3 linked regions of the Rattus norvegicus genome follow. The protein of the gene in region 1 purifies or fractionates together with the protein of each later gene. This does not show direct contact. Links are inferred from orthologs where the notes say so. Each region holds a gene or a part of one and is shown in the gene's direction. Other genes may lie near its edges.

The links. Proteins that work in one complex are often made in the same cells at the same time.
Region 2: the proteins of Hspb1 (region 1) and Tgfb1i1 purify together in Homo sapiens (affinity purification with western blotting; 3 studies listed by BioGRID). This does not show direct contact. The link is inferred for Rattus norvegicus from reciprocal best matches to the Homo sapiens genes HSPB1 and TGFB1I1.
Region 3: the proteins of Hspb1 (region 1) and G6pd fractionate together in Homo sapiens (co-fractionation; 3 studies listed by BioGRID and IntAct, with this or other methods). This does not show direct contact. The link is inferred for Rattus norvegicus from reciprocal best matches to the Homo sapiens genes HSPB1 and G6PD.

Annotation. Positions count from the first base shown.
Region 1 is NC_086030.1:26,429,867-26,434,118, reverse strand, and holds Hspb1 (heat shock protein beta-1), read left to right. Parts: upstream 1-1,817; 5' UTR 1,818-1,951; coding exon 1,952-2,327; intron 2,328-2,988; coding exon 2,989-3,052; intron 3,053-3,163; coding exon 3,164-3,344; 3' UTR 3,345-3,479; downstream 3,480-4,252. UniProt on the Homo sapiens protein: Small heat shock protein which functions as a molecular chaperone probably maintaining denatured proteins in a folding-competent state. Plays a role in stress resistance and actin organization.
Region 2 is NC_086019.1:192,261,960-192,267,024, forward strand, and holds the end of Tgfb1i1 (transforming growth factor beta-1-induced transcript 1 protein), read left to right. Parts: intron 1-2,126; coding exon 2,127-2,300; intron 2,301-2,526; coding exon 2,527-2,608; intron 2,609-2,798; coding exon 2,799-2,947; intron 2,948-3,118; coding exon 3,119-3,385; 3' UTR 3,386-3,944; downstream 3,945-5,065. UniProt on the Homo sapiens protein: Functions as a molecular adapter coordinating multiple protein-protein interactions at the focal adhesion complex and in the nucleus. Links various intracellular signaling modules to plasma membrane receptors and regulates the Wnt and TGFB signaling pathways.
Region 3 is NC_086039.1:157,354,524-157,358,790, reverse strand, and holds part of G6pd (glucose-6-phosphate 1-dehydrogenase), read left to right. Parts: exon of another isoform or gene 1-512; intron 513-562; coding exon 563-600; intron 601-709; coding exon 710-818; intron 819-1,739; coding exon 1,740-1,957; intron 1,958-3,423; coding exon 3,424-3,582; intron 3,583-3,808; coding exon 3,809-3,934; intron 3,935-4,238; coding exon 4,239-4,267. UniProt on the Homo sapiens protein: Catalyzes the rate-limiting step of the oxidative pentose-phosphate pathway, which represents a route for the dissimilation of carbohydrates besides glycolysis.

The DNA of each region.
Region 1 (4,252 bases):
CAGTGAGGCCACCAGGCTGTTTAATGTGACATTCCTGCTGTATGTGGTGGCAGACACTATGATCCCAGCGCTTCAGAGGTACAAACAGGAGGATCAGGAATTAAGGTCGTTCTTGGCTACATAGAGAATTCCAGACTACTCAGGGCTACATGAGACCATATTCTCAACAAACAAAAAACCCAAACAAAGGGTTGGGGATTTAGCTCAGTGGTAGAGCGCTTGCCTAGCAAGCACAAGGCCCTGGGTTCGGTCCCCAGGTCCGAAAAAAAGAAAAGAAAAAAAAAAAAACAAAACAAAAAAAACAAAAAGACAAATGGGGGACTTGAAAAATCCCAAAGTGGATAAAGAGGTGGCTGTGCGAACTTGGGGGCTGAGTTTTGGGTCTACAACTGAGGACATGGCTGCTCTGAGGTGTGGTTAAGGGGAAAGTTTTTACGGTGGATATGAGAGCATACAGTCAGAGGCGTCTGGAAGAATCCAGAGCAGAGAAACTGAACTGCATATGGCCAGCAGATTGGGTGTGTGTGGACAGGAGAGAAGAGAGATTGGGAGAGGGACAGATGCCAGCAAAGAGAGATGGGGCAAAAAAGACCAAGAGAGGGGGATGAGGGAGAGAGGACCAAGAGAGCACATACAGTCGTGAGAAGCTGGGGGAGGGGAGCCCCAAGAACTGGAGACGTTTATGAGTAAGGGGCAGGGTGAGAAGGGCTGAGAAGAGCTAAGAGTAGTATTTCAGTTGCCCAGTGAGCCCAGAGGCCAGTGCTCATTGGTATGCTAATAGACATCACAGGTGACCTTTAACCCTAGTTTCTTTTGTATGGACCACAAAGCAATCCATATAAAAGCTGGAGGTGGCTACCATGTGATGCCTCTAGCCTTTAATCCCAACTCTCCCAGAGGAAACGGCAGGCCGATCTGTGAGATCCAGGCCAGCCTAGTCTAATGAGTTCTAAGACAACCAGGACTACACAGAAAAATCCTGTTTTGAAAAAAGATCCTAATCCTAGCGCTAGGCTGGAGGGGTGGGGCAGTTGCAGAAACAGGAGGATGCTAGGGGGTTCACTGCCCATCCAGTTTGCAGGCACCAGGCTTGATGTCTCCCGAGAGATGGCTCAGCGATTAGGGGGACTGACTGCTCTTCCTAGTACCCAGGTTCAAATTCTAGCACCCGCAGGGCACTCCGAGATCTGACACTCTCTGTAGCTCCAAGATCTGACACTCTCACACAGACGTACAAGCAGGCAAAACGCTGATACACAAAAAATAATGTTTAAAAAAGCATTAAAACAAAAAAGAAAAACCCTGTCTCAAAGAAAGAGAGAAAGGAAGGAGGGAAGGAAGAGAAAAAGAAGTCTCAGGGTCAGTAAGATATTTAGTGGACGAAGGCGCCTGCCACCAAGCCTTTGGTCCCCAAAGAGACACATGGTAGAAGACAGCTAGTCTGGCTGGTCATCCAGAGACCTCCACAGGTGTGCCCTGACAAGTGTGTCCCCACAGGCCTCCTTCTGGCTCAGACCAGGTTCAGTTGCTTCCTAATTGCGACACAAAAGACCGTACCCCTCCTGGTTTATTCTCCACAAACGATGGGACTGGCCCCAGGCCACCGCCCTTCAGACTGCAGCGTTCTAAGCGACAGTGGGAACTGCTCCAGCTACCGGTATTACAGTCATTTGTTTTCTTCAACTAGAGAAGTTTCCAGATGGGGGCAGAACCTTCCTGGCCCTGCCTGCCCGCCCCCTTCGTAAGCTTAGGGGGAGGAATGCAGAGGGGAGGGGCGGCGAGGGACGGCCCCTTAGACGGTCATTGCCATTAATAGAGACCTGAAGCACCGCCTGCTAAAAATACCCGGCTGGACACCCATAAAAGCACAGTTGGGGCTCCAGCTCGGCACTTCTCGGATCCTCAGCCCAGTGCTTCTAGATCCTCAGCCCTGACCAGCTCAGCCAAGACCATGACCGAGCGCCGCGTGCCCTTCTCGCTACTGCGGAGCCCCAGCTGGGAGCCGTTCCGGGACTGGTACCCTGCCCACAGCCGCCTCTTCGATCAAGCTTTCGGGGTGCCTCGGTTTCCCGATGAGTGGTCTCAGTGGTTCAGCTCCGCTGGTTGGCCCGGCTATGTGCGCCCTCTGCCCGCCGCGACCGCCGAGGGCCCCGCAGCAGTGACCCTGGCCGCGCCCGCCTTCAGCCGGGCGCTCAACCGGCAACTCAGCAGCGGTGTCTCAGAGATCCGACAGACGGCCGATCGCTGGCGCGTGTCCCTGGACGTCAACCACTTCGCTCCTGAGGAGCTCACAGTTAAGACCAAGGAAGGCGTGGTGGAGATCACTGGTGAGTTTCCCTTATCCCAAGAGGGGACGAAGCTGGTGGGGCGAGCGAGTAACGTGGTGGCAGTGGAGGTGGGGGGTGGGGGTGGGTGCTGAAACCATGAGGGACAGGACCCTGAAAAGTTAGAAATGAGCTCAGGGACCCGGAGACCCGCGTCATTCTCCCTAGCCTGCTTCTCTTGCCCCGGAACGCGGGGTGCAGGTTTGCTCCTAAAAGCTCTGTCATCTTCGATGATAAGGACCAACAGCTGGGGGTGTAGCTCAGGGCAGAGTCTTGCCTGGCAAGCCCGGAGGCCTTGAGGCCTTGACCACCCGCAGCACAGAAACAAAATGAAGGAAGACCCAAGGCACCTTCTGGAAGACCTCATCCCCAAATAAGCAAGTGGCAGGACTCCAGTCAGGGTCCCTAGACCCAGCCGCGGTGGGGGCGTGCGCACAGCTTCGAGTATGCCTACGCTGGCATCCAAGCCTGGGTCAGAGCCAAGCCCAGGTCCGGGACCTTTGCATCCCAAATCTCAGAAGCGAACTTTCTGGAAAGTTTTAAGATCCCAGACAGTCAGGCATCCCACCACACTCTTAATTTGTTTGCCTCCTTGGGGCCCCAGCCATTCCTTAGCTAGGACTGCAGAGGGCTGCCTCTGACCTCCTTCTGTCCCCACCCACAGGCAAGCACGAAGAAAGGCAGGATGAACATGGCTACATCTCTCGGTGCTTCACCCGGAAATACACGTGAGTTCTGGTTCCTTGCATGGAGAGCTGGGGGGTGGGGGAGCGGACCCTGGGCGGAGGGCGGGGTCAGGAGGGATGTGTAACCCTTGTCCTTTGTTTCTGCTCCTCTAGGCTCCCTCCAGGTGTGGACCCCACCCTGGTGTCCTCTTCCCTGTCCCCTGAGGGCACACTCACCGTGGAGGCTCCGCTGCCCAAAGCAGTCACACAATCAGCGGAGATCACCATTCCGGTCACTTTCGAGGCCCGTGCCCAAATTGGAGGCCCAGAGTCGGAACAGTCTGGAGCCAAGTAGAAGCCTTCAGCTTGCTACCCATCCCCAGTAGCCGTCACCAGCCCTCCCTCTCTGTCAATCTGAATGCTCTTTTGATACATGTACTTTCTGTTTTTCTCAAATAAAAGTTGGAAACTACTGCTCACCACCCTCTCAGAATCCAGAGTTGTTATGGTGGGCTAGGGATGAGTGTTTCTAATTGGAGCACCCTTTGGGGTCTTTGCTAAGTGTTTGCTCTAGGCTCAGCCCCTTCCTCCGTCCAGCCTAATATTCCCCTAGGAAGAGGCAGGGGGTGGGGTGGGGTGGGGGGAGTAACCTGGAGATTAAATTTACCAGACTAGGAATGGTGGTATATGCCTGTAATTCCAATACCCAGAAGTTAATGCAGAAGCATTGTGAATTGGAAGCCAGCCTGGGCTACAGAGTTCTTAGAGTGACTGGGCCACATACATGCTGTCTTCAAAACCAACCAGACAAACAAACATAATAGGAGCTTGGGGTGTGGCTCAATAGAGTGTCCTATGGTGTGCATGAAGCACCATTTGATCCTCTACATCAAATAAACCGGGTACGGTGGCACATTCCAGAAGTGGAGGATCAGAAAGGAGTTCGAGGTTATCCTGGGCTACGTGGCCAAAGTGAGGCCAGCCTGGGATACATGAAAACACCTTAAAGGTAAAAAAAAAAAAAAAAAAAAAAAAAGAGTCAGCCAGACCTACTACTCATCAGATCCAAAGGAAACTCCTCCCCCAGCTGCTGGCTCTGTTCTCTATTAACAGCAATTTCCTTGTCCCCGCTAGTACAGCAAAGCGCTAACTTCCAGGCTTCCTCCGCATTAGGTACCTATGGATCCCCCAGCTCTTCTCTCCCCACCCCTACCCTACACTCCAGCTCCCAGGCTTCCCTCCCACAGCCTCTCATTCTCCTAT
Region 2 (5,065 bases), on another chromosome or scaffold:
TCGATGGAATTTTGACTGGCTCCATACTGTGTAGGTCTCCTGAGAGATCTCCAGCATGGGGTGCACCAGCCCAGTCACGTTGAGAAAGCACCGATTCACAGCAGTCTTCCCCAACCTCTGGCTCCTACAGCCTGGCCATCCCCTGTGCTGTGATGCTCTCTGAGCCTTGTGGGGATACTGTGGGAGATAGATGTTCCATTTAGGACTGTGTGTTTCCCCCACTTTCAATGAGTATCTGTGAAATGGAATTTGCTTTTTCTTGTGATGTTGCGGACTGACCCTTGCATTTGCTAGGTAGACCTCCTGTCACTGAGCTGTACCCTAACTCTTGGGACAGTGTTTCATGTATCTCATGCTGACCTCAAATTCAATATATAGTCAAGGAGAAGCTCTGATTTCTTTTTTTTTTTTCCCTTTCTATTTTTCGAAGCTGGGGACAGAACTCAGGGCCTTGTGCTTGCTAGGCAAGCGCTCTACCACTGAGCTAAATCCCCAGCCCCGAAGCTCTGATTTCTGATCCTCTAGTTTCTACCCCAGGAGTACTGGGATTATAGGCACCCTTTCCCAGGCTCTATGTAATTCTTGGAGATTGAATCCAAGACTGTGTTTGCTAAGTGATCAATCTAGTACCTGTAGCCCAACCCTTGGAATTTTGAGACAAAGTCTTGCATAGACTGCCCTAAAACCCATGATTGTCCTCCCTTTACCTTCCAAGTTCTAGAAAGTTCAGCATGTGCCGCTATGCCCACCTGAAATGGATAGTATTATTTATATTTTATGTGGGTTTTTTTTTTTTTTGAAAGCAAATGTTTGAGGCAGCATCTCACTGTAACCTAAGCTGAGCAGAAACTCACTCTGTAGCCCAGACTGGTCTTGAACTCATGGCAATCCTCCTGCTTCAGCCTTCTAAGTGCTGGAAGTACAGGTGTGAACCACCATGCCCAGCTATATTTTATGTTTTCTTCCTTCCTTCCTTCCTTTCTCTCTTTCTTTTTTTTAAATGTGCATTGGTGTTTTGCCTGAGTTAACAGACTCAGCCACCATGTGGTTGCTGGGAATCGAACCCGGGTCCTCTGGAAGAGCAGCCAGCACTTTTAACCACTGAGCCATCTCTCCAAGTCCCTCTTATTTTATATTTTCTTAATTTAAAAAGTTGTGTGTGTGCTAGGGACTAAGCCCAGGGCTTTTATATGCTAAATACACCTCTTGCCCTTGAACTAACCCCTCACGCCATGTATATTTATGGGTGAGAAAACTGGAACTCTTAGTGATAAGCCGCAGGGTAAGAATTCCAACCTGTTTGGTATTTGGTGTGGCACTGACGTGTGCTGGCCACTGTGCTTGTTCTTTGTCATACCCCTATTTCATTTAATCTTCCCAAAGGACTCACTAGTTTTGCCTAGTATCTCTCTGGAATCATAAATCTGTCTCTCTTCCCTTTCTGGTCCAGAAGTTGTACGTCTTGGATCATGGATTGAGCAGATATGTTCCAGAATAGCTGTGCTTGGTTGACTTAAAGCATCTCCTTAGATTAGTACCTGACTCCCAAACCAGACTCACTGACCTCAGAAAGCAAGCAGGGTGGTGTGACCTCTGTGAGGAGGCTCTGGTACTCCAGACTTCATGGGGTGCTTCCCCTACTAAAACTTACCTCTGTAGTGGCATAAAGAGGACTCTGTTTTCTAGCATGACAGTGTCGCCTTAATTCTAGGGCCACAGAGTTTGAGAGGTAGGAGGACTAAGCTACATAGTGAATTAAAAGCCAGCACAACTTAGACTCTGTCTCAAAAAGCAAACAAACAAACAAACAAACAAACAAAAACAAACACCTTACATAGACTTTAAAGTAACTAAACCTTTTCCTGGGCCCTTAGAGGGAGTGTGGGCCCAGATACACTATGTCCTATGTGTACACAAACTCTGTGGTAAAGTTGGAAGGACAGCTATGGACCTCTAACACAATTTGTTGAGCCTTGGAAGCTTGTTTGTTTTTGTTTTTGTTCTTTCAATTCTGGTCCGTCAGGGTTAAGACTAGGAAAGTGCCCGGTAAATGCCAGGTACGTGTAAACCTTAGCTCGTCCAGCTCCTACCAGGTTCTGACAGAAACCTCCGATTCAACTCCGCAGGTGGTTACCGCCCTGGGTAGAGCCTGGCATCCGGAGCACTTCCTTTGCAGAGGTTGTTCCACAACCCTGGGAGGCAGCAGTTTCTTCGAGAAGGATGGGGCTCCCTTTTGCCCTGAGTGCTACTTTGAGCGCTTCTCCCCACGATGTGGCTTCTGCAACCAACCCATCCGACATGTAAGCTCTGCAGACCCCCACCAATGAACCTGCTTCAGAGGGAACCAGCCAAATCGAAACCCATCTCTTCTACCTACTTCCTCACCTACCTCACCCCGCCTCTTCAGTTTGCCCTCTTCAACCCCAGATTCCTTGTTAGTTCTTCCGCATTCCCTAGTTTCTCAGAGGGAGGTGGAGGGAAGAAGGAAGAGAAGGTGATAGTAGTGTCCTTTTTCATTTTATGCAGAAAATGGTCACCGCCTTGGGCACCCACTGGCACCCAGAACATTTCTGCTGTGTCAGCTGCGGGGAGCCTTTTGGAGAAGAGGGTGAGAGTTGAAACGTAAAAGCTACCAGTCCACTGTCCTGTCCATCCCTGGATCCCAACTCCCGCCCTTATTTCCACCCACCGCCCGTCCTCTCCGTGTCCCAAACCCTATCCCTCCCTCCCTACTGCCGGTACCCCCTGCCATTCTTGAATCTTGTAGTCCCGCCCACATCGTCTGTCCCCGCCCCCAGGTTTCCACGAGCGGGAGGGCCGCCCCTACTGCCGGCGGGACTTCCTGCAGCTGTTCGCCCCGCGCTGCCAGGGCTGCCAAGGACCCATTTTGGATAACTACATCTCGGCACTCAGCGCGCTCTGGCACCCAGACTGCTTCGTGTGCAGGGTGCGTGGCTGTGGGGAGCGGGCCAGAAGCCCAGGGTGGATGCTTCGCTGATTAGTCGCTCCATTTCTGTGCGACTTATGTTGCGAAGTTGCAGGAGTCAGGGTAGATGATAAGTTATCCACACCGGTTCCCTCGTCAGGGTTTTGGCTCATTTTGTTAATTTCTCCTTAGGAATGCCTCGCGCCCTTCTCCGGAGGCAGCTTCTTTGAGCACGAGGGTCGCCCACTGTGTGAAAACCATTTCCACGCTCAGCGTGGTTCGTTGTGTGCCACGTGTGGCCTCCCTGTGACTGGCCGCTGTGTATCTGCTCTGGGCCGCCGCTTCCACCCAGATCACTTTACCTGCACCTTCTGCCTACGCCCACTCACCAAAGGCTCCTTCCAGGAGCGTGCCAGCAAGCCTTACTGCCAGCCTTGCTTCCTGAAGCTCTTTGGCTGACCTCCTCTTGGGATCACAGACCTCCAAAACCACGCCTCCAAAAACCTGTTCTCCCTGAAAAAGACTGGGCCCTCCAGATCCCTAGCTCTGGAGCTGCCCAGGCATTCTTGCCTGTACTCCCACCTCCATCCCCACTATGGCCCGGCCACTGGAGAGTGCTCCAGGTTTGTCAAGCTCAGCAAGGGCCCCACTAGCTCTCACTTTGACACGATTCTGGTTTTCTAATCTGACGGATTAGAGGCCAAGATGTCCCAGTTCACCCATGGCTCACTGTTCTGTACTTTTTTTTTCTACAAACATAAAAACACGCTCCACATCTCACAGTGCCAGCGATCCTTGCTTTACTACCCAGAGCCCTTGCTCTGTGCTCCGAGGGCTCCAGGCCACAGTCCTGTGAGGGGACAGAGGTGCTCCTCCCTGGGATAACAGCAAATAACAGATGAAGGCAGGCATGGGGAGGTGTGTCTGAAATCCCAACACGGAGGCCGGGGCAGATGATCCTAAGCTGCATAGCAAAACTGAGGCCAGGTTGGGTACATAAGACTATCTCAAAACAAAACAAACAAAAAAACCCCCAAACACCTGGAAACCAAAAGTCAAAGCAATGGCGACAGAGTGAAAGGTACAGTAGTCCATGACTCTAATCCCAGCATGCTGGAGGGAAGTTCAACATCAGTTCAAAACAGTCTGGCCAGCCTGGCTCCTGGGTATAAGACCTTGTACCAGTGGGGTGGGGTTAGGGCACCAGACGACCCAGGTTCAATTCCTAGCACCTACATCTGTCTGTAACTCCAGTTCCAGGGAATCCAACACCTTCTTCTGGCCTCTATAGGCACCAGGTACACACATGGTGCACAGACAAACATGCAGACAAAACACCCATACACATAAAACACAATTTTTAGAAAAGGGCTGGAGAAACAGCTCAGTGATTAAGAGTGCTGTATGTTCAGAAGATGTGTGTTCAGTTCCCAGCCCCCACGTGGAGACTCACAATCATTTGTAACTCCCGTTCCAAGGAGTTGAGGACACCATGAGTTATCGTTTATTTAAAAAGACATTTTGAACATAGGTCTTAACCACAAAGTCAAAAGAGAAGCACTGGAGAAGGAAGACGTGCTTCAAACCATAATTGTGGGCTCTGAAAGTCAGACAAGGCAGCTCTGTGTTCTAGGGTGAGCATATAGGATTTTAACTGCTAACAAGTTTCTCGGGCTCCCTCCGCTTCTCGGTCTCTGTCTCTCTTTTCGGTACTTTAGATTATTGGGTGGACATCTGGACAAAGTGAGAGCTACAGAATGGGAGAAGATCATTACCAATTACACATCTGATAGGTCAATATGACATATAAAAAGAACTAAGACAAAACCCTGGATGTTAAGAAAACAAAGCCCAATTAAAACAGGTTCTCAAGGGGTTGGGGATTTAGCTCAGTGGTAGAGCGCTTGCCTAGGAAGCGCAAGGCCTTGGGTTTGGTCCCCAGCTCCGAAAAATAGAACCAAAAAAAAAAAAAAAAAAAAAAAAAAAAAAAAAAAAAAACGGGTTCTCAAAAGATAAAGTACAGTGACTGGGAAACATTTAAAGAAGGGTGCAGCATCCTTAGTTATCAGGGAAATGCAAATCAAAATAGCCTTGAACAGCACTTGGGAGACAGAGACCAGCCTCCTGATCTGCAGAGTG
Region 3 (4,267 bases), on another chromosome or scaffold:
CAAAATCACTAAGCATCATCTCCAGCCCAATTTTTCCATTGAATTTTTTCACTGCCACCTTATTTTTTTAATTCTGATTTACAGGAGGGGATTTTGAAACAGTATCTCCCTATATATTGGGAGGGTATATTACCACCAAATCTGGCCTTTATTACTGAGACAAGACTTTGCTCTGCATCATCAAACTTTTCCTGCTGTCATTTTTCTAACTTTCTAAATTGAATGGCCAACTCATTCCCTTCTAGCTCTATTTATGTTAATGTGACTTCTGAGGCCATATCTCACATGTTTTGTTTTTCTTTTATGTGCTGCTTTTGTCATCCTTAAGCTCTAATGAATTCAATGTCAAGGGTTTTATCTTGAACCCAGCAGAGTCATCTACTCATCTGTATTGGTACAAGGCTGGTGCAGGCTTAAGTCTCAGAGCTCCTCTAAGATATATGGGGGGCATAGTAGATATATATTTAGCTGAGTGGTAACCCTAAATGAGGACTCAGATCACCAGCAGTGGGGAATGATCTAGGTCATGTCACCTCCTTCTGACATGTTTCTTCTGCTGCAGGGTGACCTGGCCAAGAAGAAGATTTATCCTACCATCTGGTAGGTAATATCTCTACACTACCCCCCAATCAACCACAAAATACTCTCTACAAGGGATAGGCCTTGGCTTTCCCTACCCAGTCTGAAAACAGCTGTACTGTACCGTCAGGTGGCTGTTCCGGGATGGCCTTCTACCCGAAGACACCTTCATTGTAGGCTATGCCCGCTCACGACTCACAGTGGATGACATCCGCAAACAGAGTGAGCCCTTCTTTAAAGTGAGTATGACATTGGATCCTGGAGCCTTTTTCTGCCCTTTCATCTACCCCACAGCAAGACTAGCTCCAGGTATCTCTTGAGGAGACATGTCCCCATTCCCACCATAAGCAACAGTTCCCTCCCTTCTCATTTGACTTGCTAAGAGGCAGGGCCATCCAAAATACTCAAGCTCTGACACCTCACATCCTTGCTTTCCCTTGCCAACCACACAAAAGCTGTGGCTACTGACTTGTGCCACCTTCTCCCTGACCTCTGAACAAAGACAGAGAAAGAAGATCCCTTCTTTTTTTTTTTTTTTTCCAGAGCTGGGGACCGAACCCAGGGCCTTGCGCTTGCTAGGCAAGCACTCTACCACTGAGCTAAATCCCCAACCCCAAGAAGATCCCTTCAACCTCTTATCTATTTTCCAGTTCCACTCTGGCCCCATCCTGCTGTGCTCTGGTTTCACACTAGGACATGGCAGCAGCTGGATGAAGGAGTCTTCCAAGTACCTCTTTTCCCCAGTAATTGTACTGTGTTGACATTTTCTCACCACCTATAGTTTGCTATGATAATTTTGTAGAAACAGCCTTCTTGATCATTCTTTTTTTCTCAGGTCAGACTTTCCTAAAATCCAGTTTCTCCTCTAGGCATGAGGGCCCTGAGGGTACGTAAAATGTGCCAGTGATTTGCCCCATCTGCATACAGTATTCCTGCTATATGCCTCAGTCCCCTGCCTGCAGGTACACAAAGTTACCATGATGAAATAAACTCCTGTACTTGTAGAGCAAGGACAGGACTCAAGGGAAGCCCATCTTAGCTGTGGAACAAGAAATTGTTGAGATAGGAGGGACCAGGATAAAGAAATCTTCTACTCCTTTGGGGCAGAACAAGTGTAGACTCTTGAGAAAAGTAGTTGGCATTGTTCTGTGTATCTCCAGGTCACTCCAGAAGAAAGACCCAAGCTAGAGGAGTTCTTTGCCCGTAACTCCTATGTAGCTGGCCAGTATGATGATCCAGCCTCCTACAAGCACCTCAACAGCCACATGAATGCCCTGCACCAGGGAATGCAGGCCAACCGTCTGTTCTACCTGGCCTTGCCCCCCACTGTCTATGAAGCAGTCACCAAGAACATTCAAGAGATCTGCATGAGTCAGACGTAAGGCCTGTCTTTCCCCACTCCTGTCTGTTTGCTCTTGTTTCTACTACTCTAAACAGCCCCCAGGTCAAGCCAGTCTAGGCAAGCTGAAAAGATGAATGCTCCCAGTTTGTAATCCACATGGATTAATATTCTCAAAAAAGGGGGGAGGGGGACAGGCTCTAAATACTGGAGTTTTCTAACAACCTTTGCTATTACCACACACACTAGGCAGGTTCTAACTTCCAAGGCTCTCACTACAAAATAGTGGCCCCTTGCAACATTTCCCACCATGACCACAAGATGACAGTGTTGATCCACAGAACAGATGCTCATTGTGAGGTTTTTTTTTTTTAACCACCCCCCCTTTTCTCTGAATCCCTAGCAGACCCACAAGGTGGCAGTGTTGTTTCATAAGAGAGCATTACTATCTGCAAGCCATCTTTCTCTTCCTCTTGAATTTAGAAAACATTAGCGCTCTGTTATGAGTGGCAATGAAAGGAACCTGGTCTTTTAAAATCATTGGAAATCTGGGGAAGGTGACATATATAATTCCAGCATCAGGGAGACTGAAGCAAGAGGATTGCTTGGAGTTCAAAGCTAACCCGTAACATAGACTGAGACTGTCTCAAACAAAACAAAATTAAGCTGGGTATAGTGACACACAGTTGTAATTCCAATACTCAGGAGGCAGGAGAATCATTATAATGTTGTCAAGGCCAGCCTGGGCTACATACTAAATTCAAAGTCAGTCTGGTCTTCATAGTAAAAACGTCTCAAAAAGAAAATAAAACCTAATTTAAAAAATAAATAAAATCAATTGAAGTCAGTTGCATTGGGCAATGACTGTAGTCCCTGCTCAAGGATTGAGGCAGGAGTACCCTTTGAACCCAGGAGTTCCAGGACAATCTGAGAAACATAATAAGACTTCAAGAACATAAAACCAATGAGCGAAGCCAAACATGATGGCATGATACCTGTGACCTGTGACCCCAGTTCTTGGGAGGTAGAAACAGGAGAATCAGGAATTTAAGGTCATTCCTAAGTACATAACAAGTTCTGGGCCAACCTTGTATACATGAGACTGTATCTCACACTGACTAAAATAAAACTAGTAAGGAAGCTATGTCCTTGACGTCCCCATCTACCTTCTTTCCTGTTGGCTACTGGGCCACTTCTGACCCACTGAGGATCTGGCATGGGGAGGTGGGGAACAAGGCCACCCAAGAATGTGCCAATCATGCTACCCTAGCACCAAGGTGGGAAAATCCCAGAAACTGTTCTAGTCCCCAGCATGTTGTCGTGGAGGCTTTTAGGTGCTATCTGTGCAGGGTAAAGATCAGTAGCAGCCAGCAGAGCTTCCCTGAGTCACCTGAGAATACAGTGGTTGAAAGCCCTGCTCCCTGGGGTGGGGGGGGGGATGACATAGCCATAGGCCTATTCCTGGGAAAGATTTGAGAAATAACATGATTGGGGGCTCTAAGCAGAGGCTGGAACCGCATCATAGTGGAGAAGCCCTTCGGGAGAGACCTGCAGAGCTCCAATCAACTGTCGAACCACATCTCCTCTCTGTTTCGTGAGGACCAGATCTACCGCATTGACCACTACCTGGGCAAAGAGATGGTCCAGAACCTCATGGTGCTGAGGTGCACGGGGGATGGGGTGGAAAAGGACCAGAGCAAGGGTGGCAATGTGAGGAACCCCACCTGCCCTGCTGCCCAAAGTCAAATTCCTCCTAGATGCTGGCCAAGGTACAAAGCTCTAACTTGGCTCAGATACAGCCACTGTACTGTGGAATCCCAAAGGTAGCATCCATTCATGGACCCTTCCACAATGTCTCTCATGCTAGCCTCTCCTCTGTACCTCTCACAGATTTGCCAACAGGATCTTTGGACCCATCTGGAATCGAGACAACATTGCTTGTGTGATCCTTACATTTAAAGAGCCCTTTGGTACTGAGGGTCGTGGGGGCTATTTTGATGAATTTGGGATCATCAGGTAAGAACCTATATCTACCCCAACTCAGTTCATTTTCACACTGTAAGGACTAGTGTTTAACTGAGCTGATGGGTGTAGCCATTGAAGGGTATAACTCTCATCCAGCCAAACCCCAAAGGGAATAGTGTTAGTGTCTACTTCCTTGCTTTAGGATACCAGGAACACTAGGGGTAAGGAAGCAAGGTTTTCCATCTTGTCACTAGAAAGCTTTGTTTGGTAATTCTAGAGCCCCTAGAACTTAGTTTCCCTTTTTCCCACCCTAGAAGTGGCACTTAACCAGAGTATCTGCCTCTTCTGCTACTAGGGATGTCATGCAGAACCACCTCCTGCAGA